3 linked regions of the Mus musculus genome follow. Each later gene encodes a partner of the first gene's protein in a complex. Links are inferred from orthologs where the notes say so. Each region holds a gene or a part of one and is shown in the gene's direction. Other genes may lie near its edges.

Evidence for each region.
Region 2: Dr1 (region 1) and Yeats2 share a complex: the UniProt entries of both Homo sapiens proteins name them as parts of the ADA2A-containing complex. The link is inferred for Mus musculus from reciprocal best matches to the Homo sapiens genes DR1 and YEATS2.
Region 3: Dr1 (region 1) and Mbip share a complex: the UniProt entries of both Homo sapiens proteins name them as parts of the ADA2A-containing complex. The link is inferred for Mus musculus from reciprocal best matches to the Homo sapiens genes DR1 and MBIP.

Annotation. Positions count from the first base shown.
Region 1 is NC_000071.6:108,266,888-108,272,143, forward strand, and holds the start of Dr1 (protein Dr1), read left to right. Parts: upstream 1-2,009; 5' UTR 2,010-2,702; coding exon 2,703-2,922; intron 2,923-5,256. UniProt on the Homo sapiens protein: The association of the DR1/DRAP1 heterodimer with TBP results in a functional repression of both activated and basal transcription of class II genes.
Region 2 is NC_000082.6:20,206,472-20,211,274, forward strand, and holds part of Yeats2 (YEATS domain-containing protein 2), read left to right. Parts: intron 1-1,152; coding exon 1,153-1,322; intron 1,323-1,947; coding exon 1,948-2,106; intron 2,107-3,560; coding exon 3,561-3,737; intron 3,738-4,803. UniProt on the Homo sapiens protein: Chromatin reader component of the ATAC complex, a complex with histone acetyltransferase activity on histones H3 and H4. YEATS2 specifically recognizes and binds histone H3 crotonylated at 'Lys-27' (H3K27cr).
Region 3 is NC_000078.6:56,338,683-56,343,485, reverse strand, and holds part of Mbip (MAP3K12-binding inhibitory protein 1), read left to right. Parts: intron 1-1,076; exon of another isoform or gene 1,077-1,130; coding exon 1,131-1,250; intron 1,251-2,882; coding exon 2,883-3,101; intron 3,102-3,188; coding exon 3,189-3,285; intron 3,286-4,803. UniProt on the Homo sapiens protein: Inhibits the MAP3K12 activity to induce the activation of the JNK/SAPK pathway. Component of the ATAC complex, a complex with histone acetyltransferase activity on histones H3 and H4.

The DNA of each region.
Region 1 (5,256 bases):
TGTTTTCAATTGCTCTGCTGTTGCTTTTCCACTGAACGTGTGTCTTCAGGTTTTTACAGCTTTTCACTGCCCTTGCCTCTCTCTCAAGCTGTTTTGCCATTTGCTTCTTTAGTCTTTACCACTACATGAAAAGCCTTCCTTCCCCATTCTGCCCCATTAGCTTCTTGTTGACACATATCATTTCTTTTTGACCTTTTAACAAAGTGATATCACCTCTTTCATTTATGTCCTTACAGTTTGCAGCTGTACTATGCTGTCCAGAGTCCATCTTTGAGTTATCAATCCTCTTTCCTTATCTTCCCCAATGCAGGCATTGCAGCTGGGTGCCACCATTTCTGACTCCTACTAGTTTGATTTTCCAGAAATATTTCTCTGTACCATTTTCCCATGTGACTTCATTTACAATAGTCCTTTAAATGTGTAAAGTCTTTACTGACATTTTCCTTTATGTTTTTATACTTCTTTTTCATCTTTAAAATCTTGTGAACTTTTAAAGTTAAAAATACTGTACTTCAAACCTGGAGTTGAACTCATTTGCAGTGGCCAAGACCTTTAATCCCAGCACTTGGGAGGCAGAGGCAGGCAAGTCTCTCTGAGTTTGAGGCCAGCCTGGTTTATAGAGTTCCGGGACAGCCAGGGGTACACAGAGAAACCATGTCTCAAAAAGCAAAAATAAAATAAAATAAAATAAAATAAAGAAAAGCTGGGGTTGCAGGTATAAACAATTTAGACAGTGGCTTGGGAGAACTCAGAAGCACTCTGTAGACATGACTCCCATATGAGAAAGTTTGCTTATAATATAGTAATAGCACAAAATGGCAGGCTAACCAGGTAACAGTTACCTAGGACTTAACATTCCATCTAGATTTTAATATTTTATCTAGGTCTTTATACATCTGAACCAAAATTTACTTATTTTGAAGAAGAAACTTGTTCTTTATAATCAAAGATTGAACTTACTAGCACTGATATAATGAAGAATATTTAGTTCCCAGCAAGCATTTTGGAGAAAATGTTGAATGAAAAAATTAACTCAAGGCTGGTGTTCTAGCTCAGTGCTGAAGCTGCATCTAGTAAGGTGGGTAGGAGGGGATGGTTGACAATGATAGTCTCCTGGAAACCAGACATCTTAAAGCATTGCCACAGTCCAGCTGCCAGTCTATCAACAAAGAACACGATGAACTAAACTGTGCACGTAGATTTAACTGGCTTAGTCCTTTCAAAAGTTACAACTTTCCACTATTAATTAATGTGACAGTATGTGAGGATTTGCGTGTGTTGAGACAGGTTTTTTCTGTATTGCCCTGGCTGTCCTGGAACTTGATTTGCCTGCCTGAGTGTCGTGTCCTAAGTGCTGGGATTAAAGGCGTGAGCCACTGTCGCCCAGCTGAGCTTATCTTAAAAAAAAAAAAAAGTGATTTCTGTGATGAACGTGGCACTAGTTATTAGTAATCACTTGGAACGAAGCAGATATCGGACTCTCATAAGATAAACCTTTTTTTTTTCTTGTCTTCCTTTCAAAAGCAAGTATGCAGAGGGCCATAGCTCATGGTATGCCAAACATTTTCATTACTTTAGATCAGACTACCAGTTTCCTGACTTAGCCACTTGTGGTACCGAGGACAGCCACTTCTTTGAAGGCTTCATTTCTTTCTCACAAATGAGAACAGGGAGCTCTGATCTGAATGCTGTGAAGTAGTTGTAAAGGCCTGTCCTCCCCACTCTGCTCTTTTCACTCCGCGCCCTAATCCCGACAGCTAAGGAGATAGGAAAAGGAAGTTCTTTAGTAAGGACCAGGGCTCCCCTGCCACGTGGCCCTCCGCGGGCCCTTCTGCCCGCAGAGCAAGCGAGCTCCAGGGCCCGACGGAGGAGACGCCGGGTCGCCGTGCGTGGGGGAGCGGCAGGCGGAAGCTGCGGGCTGCCAAGCCCCGCGGCTCCCGCCCGTCCGGGAGGGGGTAGGGGCGGGGCGTGCACACGGAAATCCATCGAGGAGGGCGGGTGGGACCTGGGGAGTTCGACTTCCGGTGGCGCAAAGCGTGCCGGGATCAGCTTGCGGCAAACCTCCTTCCCCGGCCCGTAGAGAGACCACCGTTAGCGCCGCTCCTGCTCGCACAGCCTGCTCTCGGCCACACGCTTGGCCGCTGCGGCTCCCGCAGTGTTCGGCCCGGTCCACTTGGTTTCCCAGGCAGCCGGCGTGCGCTCAGCTGCGGCTTCGGCAGACATGTTGTGAGGCGGCGGCGCGGGTGCCTGAAGGATGGTTTGGCCGAGGCGGCTGCAACCGCTGCTGGTGGCGGCGTCCTCGGGGGCTCCGGCTCTGTAGAGCTGACCCTGCTCAGTGTCCGCCCGGGACCGCGGCCGGGCGGGTATTCCTCTGTCTTGCGTGCGCTCCCGTGCCGTTTAGGTTCGGTTAGACGACAGCGCCAGTCCGTTTGAGGCGACACGCAGGGTGGTTCTCCAGCCCTGGGAGTGGTGTCCCTAGAACCCTCAGCCCCCTGACCTTTCCTTCATATTCCCACTAAAATCTCTCACACAGTGGGTGTTCCCTGCCCTCCAGCCCTCCTTCCTGGTTTCTGCACTCTCTTCTCTGAGCTTCCCGGACCCCAACATCCCTCTCCAGGGACAGCCTGTTGAGAAATCTTCGTGGAGTGGTGGACCAGAGGCGAGGAGTTTAAAAGTTGGGGCTTGAAAGACAGGAAGATACGATGGCTTCCTCGTCTGGCAACGACGATGATCTCACTATCCCCAGAGCTGCTATAAATAAGATGATCAAAGAGACTCTTCCTAATGTCCGGGTGGCCAACGATGCCCGAGAGCTGGTAGTGAACTGCTGCACGGAATTCATTCACCTTATATCTTCTGAAGCCAACGAGATTTGTAACAAGTCAGAAAAGAAGACAATTTCACCAGAGCATGTTATACAAGGTAAGCGATTTGTGTGGGATTTGGTTTCGATGAAGGATCAGGGGAACAGTCAAGCTAATAGAGTAACCACTTGGCGTCACAGAGCCTTCATTCCACTTCACTAGTAAGCACAGTTAATGAAAAGTCAAAACGGCATAGAGACAGCTTGTACCTTAAGAAAACACCTATGTAGCATTCTTCTGACATTGTTTTCATCCGGCTAGTGCAAATAAGGAGTGCAGACATTAGGGTCAACAGACATCCGCAACCCCTCACTAGTACAGTTTCCAATCAGGTCTTAAAACAACAAGAATTGACTGCCCACAGCTAAACGTGGATAATAACAACTGAGAAAGGAAACTCAAAGTTCTCTCTTGGAAAGTTAAATTTTAGAACTTCGAGCATGAGTTGAGTCAGAGAGTACCTCTCCCTCACCTGTATCGAGGAAAAGATTCATTTTTGAACACAGGGGTAGGAAAAACCCTTGGGCTGGTGACGGAGGTCAGTGGTGTATCATCTAGCAATCTTGCACAAGGGTCCTAGCATTGAGTTAAAAAAAAATATTGACATGAGTGTGTTAAGTGTTGTAAAGTTAATTGCTTTTCAAAAAGGAAGTATATTTTTGCTTTAAAATCGCTAAGAAGGTGGAACAGTCATCACCAGGTAACCAAAGCGAGCACCACATTTTTTTCTTTTTGACTCCCTCCAACTATTGATTGTTCTTTGAAGATTATTTGTAAAAGATGACTGGGGCAGGGCGGGAACGACAGTCCTGGGGCTTGAACGTAGGGCCTGACACACGCTAGTCAGCATTCTGTTGCCGGTCCTTCTCGCCTGCTGGTCCCCTTTGGATGTGTTTATACATTTATCTTTTATTGAAAAGCACATCTAAAAGTTTCGACAGTTTCTTCCTTATGCTGGAAAAGACTAGGAGACTTTGATGGTTACAGGAAAAGGAGACAAAAGTGCTCTTGGCAAATTTTGGGAAGTACTTTCTGTGGTTTTTCATGAACTCTTAGGAGAAGGTTGCATTCAGTTTGAGACAGTCACTTCTGTTTTATAATAATCTATTGGAAATGCGAACAATTTCTTGATTACTTTTATTTAAAGTTAAAAGGAACAAATTTAATCATACTCGGCAGGTAGTTCTCTACCATTGCCTTTTTATAAAGTTAAGTGTTAAATAATTTTACTTTCTTGTTAATGTCAAATAGAGAGCACATGTATTCGTATGGAGCATATCCATTTTACACCGTCAATATTGACAAGAAGATCAATTGATTAATTTTGAGCCTTTATCCTCTGCTGATGGTAGATTAAAAATACATCCTGCTGTGATGAGGGTGTCTCTCAAGGCTGAGTACTTAGCATGGCAGAAGTCAATCCCAGTAGGTAGTGGAGCCATGATGGTGTGTGTGTGTGTATGTATATAAATAGTCATATTATATACACATATACTCTGCCATTTCAGTACATAGTAGATAACTAAGAAAAAAAAGCAATTTTTTTTTTTAGGGTTAGGAAAGGCAAGATGATAATAGGATCCTACTGTGTTGCCTAGCCTGGCCTTAAACTTAAGAGTCTCTTCCTGCAGTATCTTGAATACTGGGATTATGGACATATAACCACCGTTCCCTGTTGCTTATTTGATTCTTTTGTGTGTATGTGCTGAACTTATGTGTGCTAGGTAAGCACTGCACTGCAGAGCTATATTTCCAGCCGACATACTTAATTCTTAAAACTGGTATTTTTAGAGCTGGGCGTGGTGGCGCATGCCTTTAATCCCAGCACTCGGGAGGCAGAGGCAGGTGGATTTCTGAGTTCGAGGCCAGCCTGGCCTACAGAGTGAGTTCCAGGATAGCCAGGGCTATACAGAGTAACTCTGTCTTGAAAAACAAAACAAACAAACAAAAAAAACTGGGTTTTTTTTTTTTTTTTCCTTCTTGTTTGGTTTGCTGAGTGGTAAGAAAAATGGAAGCCAATGTGTTTTTCTTTTTTTGAGTTTTTAAGTCTTTGAGAAGATATTTAACAAATAGCTAGCATTTCCTTTGACTCTTTATGAAGGAATAGAAGAACTGCCTTTGTCAAGCATCAACTTTTTAATGAAAATGGCAGATTTCAGTAGGATCTGCCTAAACATTTGTTTGTAACCACAGAAATGGTGATTGTTCCAAAAATCTAATGACACAATCTGTCTTCCTGGGGGAAAGCTCATTCTTTTCTAGGATATATTTAGAGTTCCAGTTGACATGATTGAAGTGTAGCTGTAGCAAGCCATGTACTAAATAGTTCAACTTTGGAATGTGACTTCAGTTTAATGTATGACTTAGAAAGTTACACTGAAAGGCTATTTTC
Region 2 (4,803 bases), on another chromosome or scaffold:
GTCCATTTACTGGAGGGTTGTTTTCTTCTGACGCAGATGTGCTGGCATAGTCTCTGTGACTAGTTTTTGGTTGTATTACTAGGTTTGGAGTTGAAATGAGAATTCCAGGTTCAGTCTAAGTATGTGTCTTAAAGCCCCAAGGACACTATGTAGTTTATTTAGTTACATAAAGCTTTTGCTTTGACAGGTGTGGGTGATGTCGAAAATATAGATTTCCCTCTGAATTGAAGTATAGGAGCCAGGCTTGTTAGAAATGACGTCCCTTGGCTGTTGACAGACTACCTCAGATATGCGCAATCTCATCAGGACTGGCAATGCTTAGATGGAGAAGTGACTGACCCTTGCCCAGTACGTTGTTAAGCCACTTAACATTTCTATAATGGCTTGTTGCCGCTTACTCTATTTTCCTCACACCTAAATAGCACAGTGTCAAAAAGATTTGTAAGGAAGGGCCAGCCTCCATATTCTGTGTGAGAGCAGACAGCATCTCTGGTCTCCACCTTCCTCAGGGTCAGAGGCTGTTGAAGGATTGTGCTTGCTGTAATCAAGGTGGCAAAACTTGTTAAATGTATGCTTACTACAGACCACGTAGCTCACTACCATGGAAGGAAAGGGGGAAGGCTTTGATCTGAAAAGAATTGAGAACTTGGAGCCAGAGATGGTTAATTTGATTTAAAAATGTTGTCTAGAAAATATTAGCATCAGATTTTCATCTTCAGTCAAAGTACTGTCAAAAATCTTCATTGGTACTCAGAGTGGAGGTATAGTCAGCTACCAGTCTCTTTAAAAGTACTAGTCAAGTGTCCTGTTATCTAGAATGCTTGAGACCAGGCATTGATTGCAGTTTTTTAGAATTTGGAATTTTTATAGAGACTTTATCAAGTATAGTCCGAAAAATCTAAAATGCTCCATAATCTAGAACTTTGATGTTACTTCAGTATCCAAAATGCTTTGAATTTAAGATTTCCAGACTGTACATGCTGAAAGTCTAAGCAGATTCAGTCTCCGTCTTTAAACTCTGGGGAGTTTTCCTCACTCGTCATCGATGAGCAGGACATGGAGGAACGGTAGTGTGGGCGAAGCATCTGCGCTCATCTGCTTTTCCTGTTGAGCTACTTCCTGTGATGCTCCTGTCACCCATTTTGCTTACAGACCTGCAGTCTGGCTCGGCTGCTGCTGGTGGCAGTGGCAGCAGTGGTGCAGGGGGAGGCAGTGGAGGTGGCGGTGGCAGCGGAGCAGGAGGAACCCCAAGCACCTCTGGCCCAGGAGGGGGCCCCCAGCACCTGACTTACACATCCTACATCCTCAAGCAAACCCCCCAGGTCTGGGAAGCAAATGCCTGATCTTGTAAATTACTTCACTTCCTGATAATGCCTTTAATTATTATGATTTCCCTTTACCATGGTAGACATTAAATCTGTATTATTTTGAGCTTGTTTGGTTTTGAGAAGTAAAAAGATAGATTCAGGAAGATTAAATAATTAATCTAAGACCTTCCTGCTAAGCTAATGGTAGAGTTTGGATTTGAGCCCTATTTTCCTGCCCCAAAGAAAGAGCCTGCTATGCTAATTATCCCCGCTCCCCATCTACTAGGTAGTAAACAATTAATGTACAATTGAAACTCTGCTCTTAGAAAGGTCAAAGCAGAGGCAGCATCAGGTTGTGGTGTTCGGGTTGGATTCATTGAGGACAAGCTTCATTCTTCTTTTTCTTTTTGTTGAAGTCTTTATCCTCCTCCACGGCCGTATTCAGACATGGTCCAGTCGTTCCAATTGAAGAAAGTAGGAATAAATCCAGTTGTGGTTTTAAACCAGTAGGGTGGGCTTCCTAGTGGCACTCCTAGTGATTGGTTCTTTGAGTTGTAGAAGGCAGCCGAGACATTACAGCCTATAGTTGGAGGCCATCAGAGTTTAATGTATTTTAGTGAATTATTTTCCTCCAACTTAGGGTACATTTTTAGTTGGCCAACCATCACCCCAAACACCTGGAAAACAACTGACTACTGCATCGGTGGTTCAAGGAACACTGGGAGTCAGTTCATCATCTGCACAGGGACAACAGACACTGAAAGTCATCTCTGGACAGAAAACCACTTTGTTTACACAGGTAAGCGTACCCATCTGCATGCTTGACACATGGTAATTTTTTTCCATTAAATAATTTATCCACTTTACATCACAGCCCTCACTCCTCCTAGTACCCCCTCCAAGATGGCCTCTCCCCTAACCCCATCCTCCACTTCATCTCTAAGAAGGTTGAAGTCCCCCCCTGAGTACCAGCCCACCCTGACACCTTAAGTCACCGCAGGACTAGGTACATTCTCTTCCTCTGAAGCTAGCCAAGACAGTCCCCGCTTAGACAAGACAGTAAGGGGGGCAGGATCCACAGTGAGGCCACAGAGTTAAAATAAGTCCCCGTTTCATGCGATGGCGTGCTGTATTTTCTGTCAAACTTCAAGTAAGGGGTTAGGGGGCCAGATGAAGAGATGCAGGCAGGCCTTTGTGAATTTGAAGCCAGTCAAGGCCATGTACAGAGAAAAAAAAAATCCCTGTCGGTCGCTAGGTAGGTGTAGGAGGTAGGTGGATGGATGGATCCTGAGTCTACCTTAGAGCACCATTAACTCACCTGCCTGAATTTGGCCCTACGTGGTTTTAGTATCTCGTGTTTAAAGCCTTTCCAGGGAGATAGGAAAGAACACCTTTTTTTTTCTTTTTTTTTTTTTTGTTTGTTTGTTTGTTTGTTTTTCAAGACAAAAAAACCCTGGTATAGCCCTGGCTGTCCTGGAACTCACTTTGTAGACCAGGCTGGCCTCGAACTCAGAAATCCACCTGCCTCTGCCTCCCGAGTGCTGGGATTAAAGGTGTGTGCGGGTAAGAACACTTAAGCAAGGACCTGAGTTCAAGTTCCCAGCACTCATGTAGATAAGTAGAGGTACTTAGTATAGCAACCTGTTTAATCCCTGTAGTCTACATAAAGGTGGAAAGAACCAACTTCACAAATCATAGCATGTGCACAGCTGTCCCCACCCAAAATAACAGTAATTAAAGATTTTTGTTTTACATTTAGTGTGGCCATGCACACATAACCGTAGTGCTGCTGGGTCAGACACTGTAGGGTCACTGAAGCTGGCCACTAGTCTAGATCCACAGTCACTGAGAGACCTTGTCTACAGGAGAAAAGGCGGAGACTAATAGAGCAGAACACTTGAGGTCCTCCTTGGCCTCCATAGATGTACAGTCAAGTGCACTTGCACATACATCACACCACACACTCAAAAATGAAATGCAAAAATACACCATGAAATTTAAGAAAACTTTGACTCAATTCTTTTGAAAACAAAGGACCTGATATCTTTGAAGATACTAATTACAAATAGGAATACATCCATTTATTTGTTCCATTTTCGTGTAAGGGAACCTCAGAGGTTATAGAATTCAACTTGTTGGAAGGGTTCATAGCACGCCACACAATCCTCATTGGCAAGACTTTCTTAAATCCAGTCAAATGCAGATAAGGAGTAAGTTGTGCAATGTTGTCATTCAATCTTTTGATGGCTGCAGGCAGCCACTGCTGGGCAGGCATCGCTGCTGAAGTTACCAGACAACACCCTGAAGTCAGTGCCAGCAGCTCCACAGCTCGCCAAGCCTGGGACCACGATGCTTCGAGTGGCAGGGGGGGTGATCACAGCTGCTCCCTCCCCTGCAGTGGCCTTCTCAGCAAATGGTGCTGTACACCAGGTGAGGAAAGCAGAAGGCCAGTGTGAAAATGAGCCTGGCTGAGCAGGACACCTTCACAAAGGCCACACCCTTGAGATGTGAGACAGTCATAGCATTGGCCAGCTCATTTTCCTTGTCCCCAAAAGAGATTCCATGCCAGTCAGCAGCTCCTTTCCAATCCCATTGCTTCCATCCCTGTCCTATACAAAACACTCACCTTCTTTTTCTATCTTTTTTTTTTTTTTTAGGTAGGTGTGGGTGTGGAGATGAGAGACTCCTTGCAGGAGTTCGTTCTCTCTCTCCCTCCACACTCATGGTATCAAACTCTGACTGTTACTCATGAGCCGTCTTGACTGCCCAAGTCTTTCCACGTGAATTTTTCTGTTTGGAGAATTTTATATAAATGTAGTAATACATGTGGCCCTTTATGTCTGGCTACTTCTGCTTAGTGAGAGTTTTGTTTGTTTTGACACAGTCTCACTATGTAGCTCAGACTAGCCATTGCCTCTGCCCCCTGAGTGCTGGAGTTATACCCATCTACATGACATTTGCAGAATTCATTTATGTTCTAACATTTATCAGTTTTCCATTTTTTATATCTGAATAATACTTAGATTTATGGATTTTTTTGTCCATCACTTAATGGAATTTTTATTTCCTATTTTTTGACTGTTAGGAATGCTGCTATAAACATGTAGATAGACATTTTTCTTGTTCTCAGAGCTAGGAGTAGAATTGCTGGCTTATGTAGGAACTCTTAATATTTTGAGGAGCTGACGATGTAGATGTGCCATTTCATGTTCCCATCAGCCAGTTAGAAGAGTTACACTAAACTGGCCTACATCCTTAGGGCCTGGAAAGAAAGTCAGTGGCTAAGAATACTTGTTGCTCTTTGAGATGACCTGAGTTTAGTTCCCACCACCTATGGAAGCCTGCTCACAGCCACCTGTAAGTCTAGCTCAGTGAGATCTGCTGCTCTCTCTTGACTTCTGCAGGCATCTGCACAAGCATAACACACATGTACATGTGCACATATAAATAAAATTAAATCGTTAAAAACAATTGTTTTAAAGAAACTATTTTTTGA
Region 3 (4,803 bases), on another chromosome or scaffold:
ACATAAAGAAATATGAAATTTTACATAGGCTATACTGACATAGGTAAACTTACACTAAGTTAAGATTTGACGATAAGATTACTAAGATAACTGCATTTATTATTGAATATGAAAGTAATCCATCAGCACATGTCTTGGTTTTTTATTCTTACAGCTCTTTAAATTTGTATTTGAGCTCATGAAACATGCATCTTTACTTTGTAGAAAATATGACATAATTTTTAATAAATTATTATTGCAAAATAAGTACAATTGACTTGTTTCCACTTGAATTGTGTCTAGCAAAGTTTATAGTGATTCCCTTATACTCAGTCAAATGTACAGGTGGAAGCTTCTCCCTCTAAAGTTTTGACTGATTTTGATATTAATTTTATATTCTTGGTAGTGTTCTGGATATACTTTTGTTCTAATAAATCACTACCTGGTGAGAAGTTTCCGTGTTATGAGACATATCTTTCTAGAAAACCCTTAGGAAACACACTGGACATTGACTTTTGGCTTCGTTGTACTGCTTTGGGAAAGTACTTGGTTTTTATCTCAATAATTTCATAACTGATAGTTTAATTTTTATTTGAAGTAGTTACTGTCATCTGTCCCTATGTGTGAATAATCTTAAGTCTTAAATACTTTTTTAATTAGCTAAGTTTGAAAACAATAAAAATAATTGAGAAGACATCAGAGTAATGATATATTTTAGGCATGTGTTTGTGTGATATGTAACAAAGAGAATACACTTTCTGGACTGTCGTAGTTGATCTTCGTCTGTTGAATGCCTAGTTGGGATTCAGTAGGATTCTGACTAGGGCAGATCTATTTTTGGATACCTTCCAGTGGTCTTTAAAATATCAAAGTATCAAAAGAGGTTTATCTTTCATGGATGGCTTTTCAAAGATGGCCCCAGGAACAGAATTAAAATAATAAGACATGTTTTTACTTTTTATTTTCAAAACTGTGCCTTTTGGCTTTTTAAAATGGCAACTGGGTAAAGCATTTTATTATGTCATTGAAACTTAGTAACTTTGAGCAAAATAGGCATGCATTACTCCATAGAAATCTTATTTTTGTGATAATCCCAGATATACAGCTTAATCGTGTAATTTTTGTGATGTTGCTGGTTTGCCTCTTTGAAGCTTAACCTCAGAGATGATGTGGTGAAAATTACAATCGATTGGAACAGGCTCCAGAGCCTCTCAGCATCCCAGCCTGCACTGCTCCTTACTGCACTTGAACAACACGTTTTGTATTTACAGGTAAATTTCATATTAGAAATATTTACTGGATATTGAAAATAGAAATTACCTATAGTTAAATTAACTGGAGTATTTTTCAGTTCTACCTCAACATTCTGTTAACAGTATTATTAATAAAAGGTTATTAAAATCCATATTGAGTCTAGGTCTGTTAATTTCACTAGTGATCGGAATAGTTATGAGAATATAGCCCAATAGGCCAATGTGGGTATGAGATTGAATAAATGCAATTCTATTCAATTCTAGGCTTTGCTGAAAATTCAATACAGTTCATCTATGGTGGGTTATAATTAAGCAATAAGACACGGCAGGTGTGAGTCATGCTATGATAATGATTCCATGCCTTGGGTGAGTTTGGAGGCTCATGGAGTGCTTTCAGTGGTTCAAGAAGTGGCATTATCCCAGCATGATACATCCTGGAGTGTCTATTGCAATTAAACAGTTTCAGCATAGTTTTTAAAAAGAAAGTAATTTCTGTGACATTAATGTTTCATCTTAGTGAGTAGCCAGTCACTATTTCATCTTAATAATTTGAAATAATTTATCCTTTATTGGAAGTCAATATTGAATTATTTATAATGGTATTGTTACATTTTTAATATTTCAGTTTAAGAAATGAACAGTATTATAACCTTGCTGTTGTTGTTTAACATCTCTGCGAGTGTAATTGATGGGAGTTGGAGGTTTTCTCTCATCAGGATAAGCAGAACTGCTTTTTCTGGTCACTTTACCCTGTTGAAGATGTTAGAAGATTTCAGAAGAGTACTTTCTGGGATGTTTAGCTGTGTTTCATGATAAAAATAACAGTTAACACTTTGTTTAAAGGGCAAGTGATGAGCTATAGAACTCAAATGTGGACCATATCCAGGTGGGGATGACAGGAAAGGAAGTGAATTTCCATTATGAAGACATTTTTTTTAACCTACTGTAGTTGGAATGATCTGTTTCCAACGTGTATAGCATGTTTTGTTTTCTTTCTTTCTATCTACCTATCTTCCTTCCTTCCTTCCTTCCTTCCTTCCTTCCTTCCTTTCTCTTTCTTCTCCCCGTGTGCATTTTCTTTTGTGAAATTTCATTTCATGTCCCAATAAGATATCATACTATGACAGAGAAAGGCTGACTATTCACTCAGGGTAACACCTATATACTTCATATCCATGCTCTCTCATTCATTTTGGCCAACTGTACTTTGAAGTGGAGAGTCTCAGCGATACAGTGATAATGCAGGGCTTTGCTGAGTGAGCACTGCCCTCCTGCTAAGGAGGGAGAACACTCAGCCTAGTGTTCTGAATGACATGTTAATTAAGAGGCATCCAGGCCAGAGTCTGAGGCTTTGATTTAGCACAAAATAAAAGATGAATGACAGAATGATTTCCTCAAAGAAAAATTTAAATGTCCTCAGGTTTTCTTTCTTTTCTTCTTTTTTAAAAATAAATGTACAGTAAATGATAAGGGCAATGTACAGTAGTAGAAAACAGCAAACCTGTGTGTGTTAAGATCTGTGTGTCCTTGTATGCCAGCTTTTTATGTTTAATAACTGATAATATTCATTTCTGTAGCAGCAGCTTAGATAAATCTATCACTAGCTGAGATGAGTTTGAACCTGAACAGATGTAACTGTGTTCTTTCCAGCCTTTTTTAGCAAAACTTCAGTCTTTAATGAAAGAAAACTCAACAGCTACAGAGATAAGACAGACAGAAGCAGAGACCAAGAGTGAACTAAGAGCCATACATCCCACCGAGGACCTACAAGATGAAGGGAAGCCCAAAGACTGTGATGTAGGAGATGTGAAAAAGACACAAAACCTTTTTGACCCAGAAGTAGTTCAGATCAAGGCTGGAAAAGCAGAAGTGAGTGTGGACAGGTACACGGGTCAGGGTAACATTACTTTGAAAAGTTCTGTTGTGTTTAGATTGTTAAATTATTTGTTGTTTTAGATTGACAGACGAATATCTGCATTTATTGAGAGAAAACAAGCTGAAATCAATGAAAACAATGTCAGGGAATTTTGCAATGTTATTGATTGTAATCAAGGTAACTACAAGTTTTTTTTTTTAACAGAATTTTAAACATCTTGACAACTGCTATAATATTTTGTTTTAAAAACATATAACATTAAGAACAAGATTCTATTTTGCAGGTGTTTAGTTGATAATTAAGGTAGTAGAATTTTCCTTTATTTAGTAATGGGCTCTGTTGCCAAACTGATTCTCATTTTGGTTACATAAAAAATCCAAGTGAAGGCCGAACTCTAGAGACAGATGTTTACCACAGGTTCAAGAAGATCAGAGTTCCTTTAGAAAGTGAAGGTGAACCAGCGAACCTAGTAGCACTACTTGCACCCCTCACAAGGGAGCAGTTTTCTCCTGACTCCTGAGTTTCATGGTGGATACACCCAGCTTGCCATGAAGTCCTGTGGAGCCTCAGCCCCAGGCCTCTCCCTTTTCACACTGCTGTCTCACCTTTGCCGTTTCGCCTCTGTCTCCCTTTCCTCTTCGTTTGGGGCTACAGTGTTTCCAGGTCTGCAGAGGACCTGCAGAACCCCATAGACTGTGTAGATTGCCACAGATCATAACCAGTTAGCTTTGTAATAACCAGACTGTAAGTAGTTCTTAGAAAAAAATTATGAAAAAAGGTTTGTAATTGGGTTGACCATTTTTTTCTTACTGCCATTAATATCTCTTAGTTAATGATTATAAACATGAAATTGTCCGTTGAACCTGGAAATGACTCATAATCACATTGATATGTGACACTCTTAACATAATAACGTGGGCTTACTGTGGATTCTAAATTAAACTTTTCTGCTTTAGCTTGTGTGGATCCCTAGAATTAGCTCTTTAGAGCAGGTGTAACAGTGGAAAATCTCAGGTGTGGCAATCCAGCTGTACACGCCTCAAGAGAAAGGGTTTGTTGAGGGAGCAAGGACATGTGTCACTAATGTTATTCCTCTGTTCCTCCTGCTAACTCTATTATTATAAACCACCAGGGGATAGAAATTGACAAGAATTGAAATGCTCAGCAGGACTCCTAAGCCCATTCAGTCCTTGCTGGCTCAAAACAGTGCTAGCCAGAATTGCTGTGGAGAGTGACGAGCATTCCCTGTCCCCACACTATGCTGCATGCTCTCTGATGGCTCTGTGCATTTGCAATGTAGCCCTGGAATGGATGGTAGCTTTTTAAAAAAATCCCTTAGACCAATGAAAGAATAGAAAGAAGTGTAGACCCCCTTACATGTATTTTGAAGTGTTTCCAAGGAAAAGAAAATGAGTGTTTAATCTTTAAATATAAATGATTAAGTAGGTTTACAATTTTATTTATACTTCAGTTTATCACAGGTCTGTTAGACTTAAGCTTAAAAAATAAATTTTAATGTGTTGCTGTATTTTTTAAAGACCTTTCAGTTGGTCTAAGAAAAAAGTTCAGTTTTTAAAAAAATCGGATTTTATGGATTAACAAAGGATTTTAACTCATGTCATATGCTTTTTTTTTTTTTTTACAAAATAATATGGGAATTTAACAAAATTTACAGCCAATGTATAGCTTTACTGT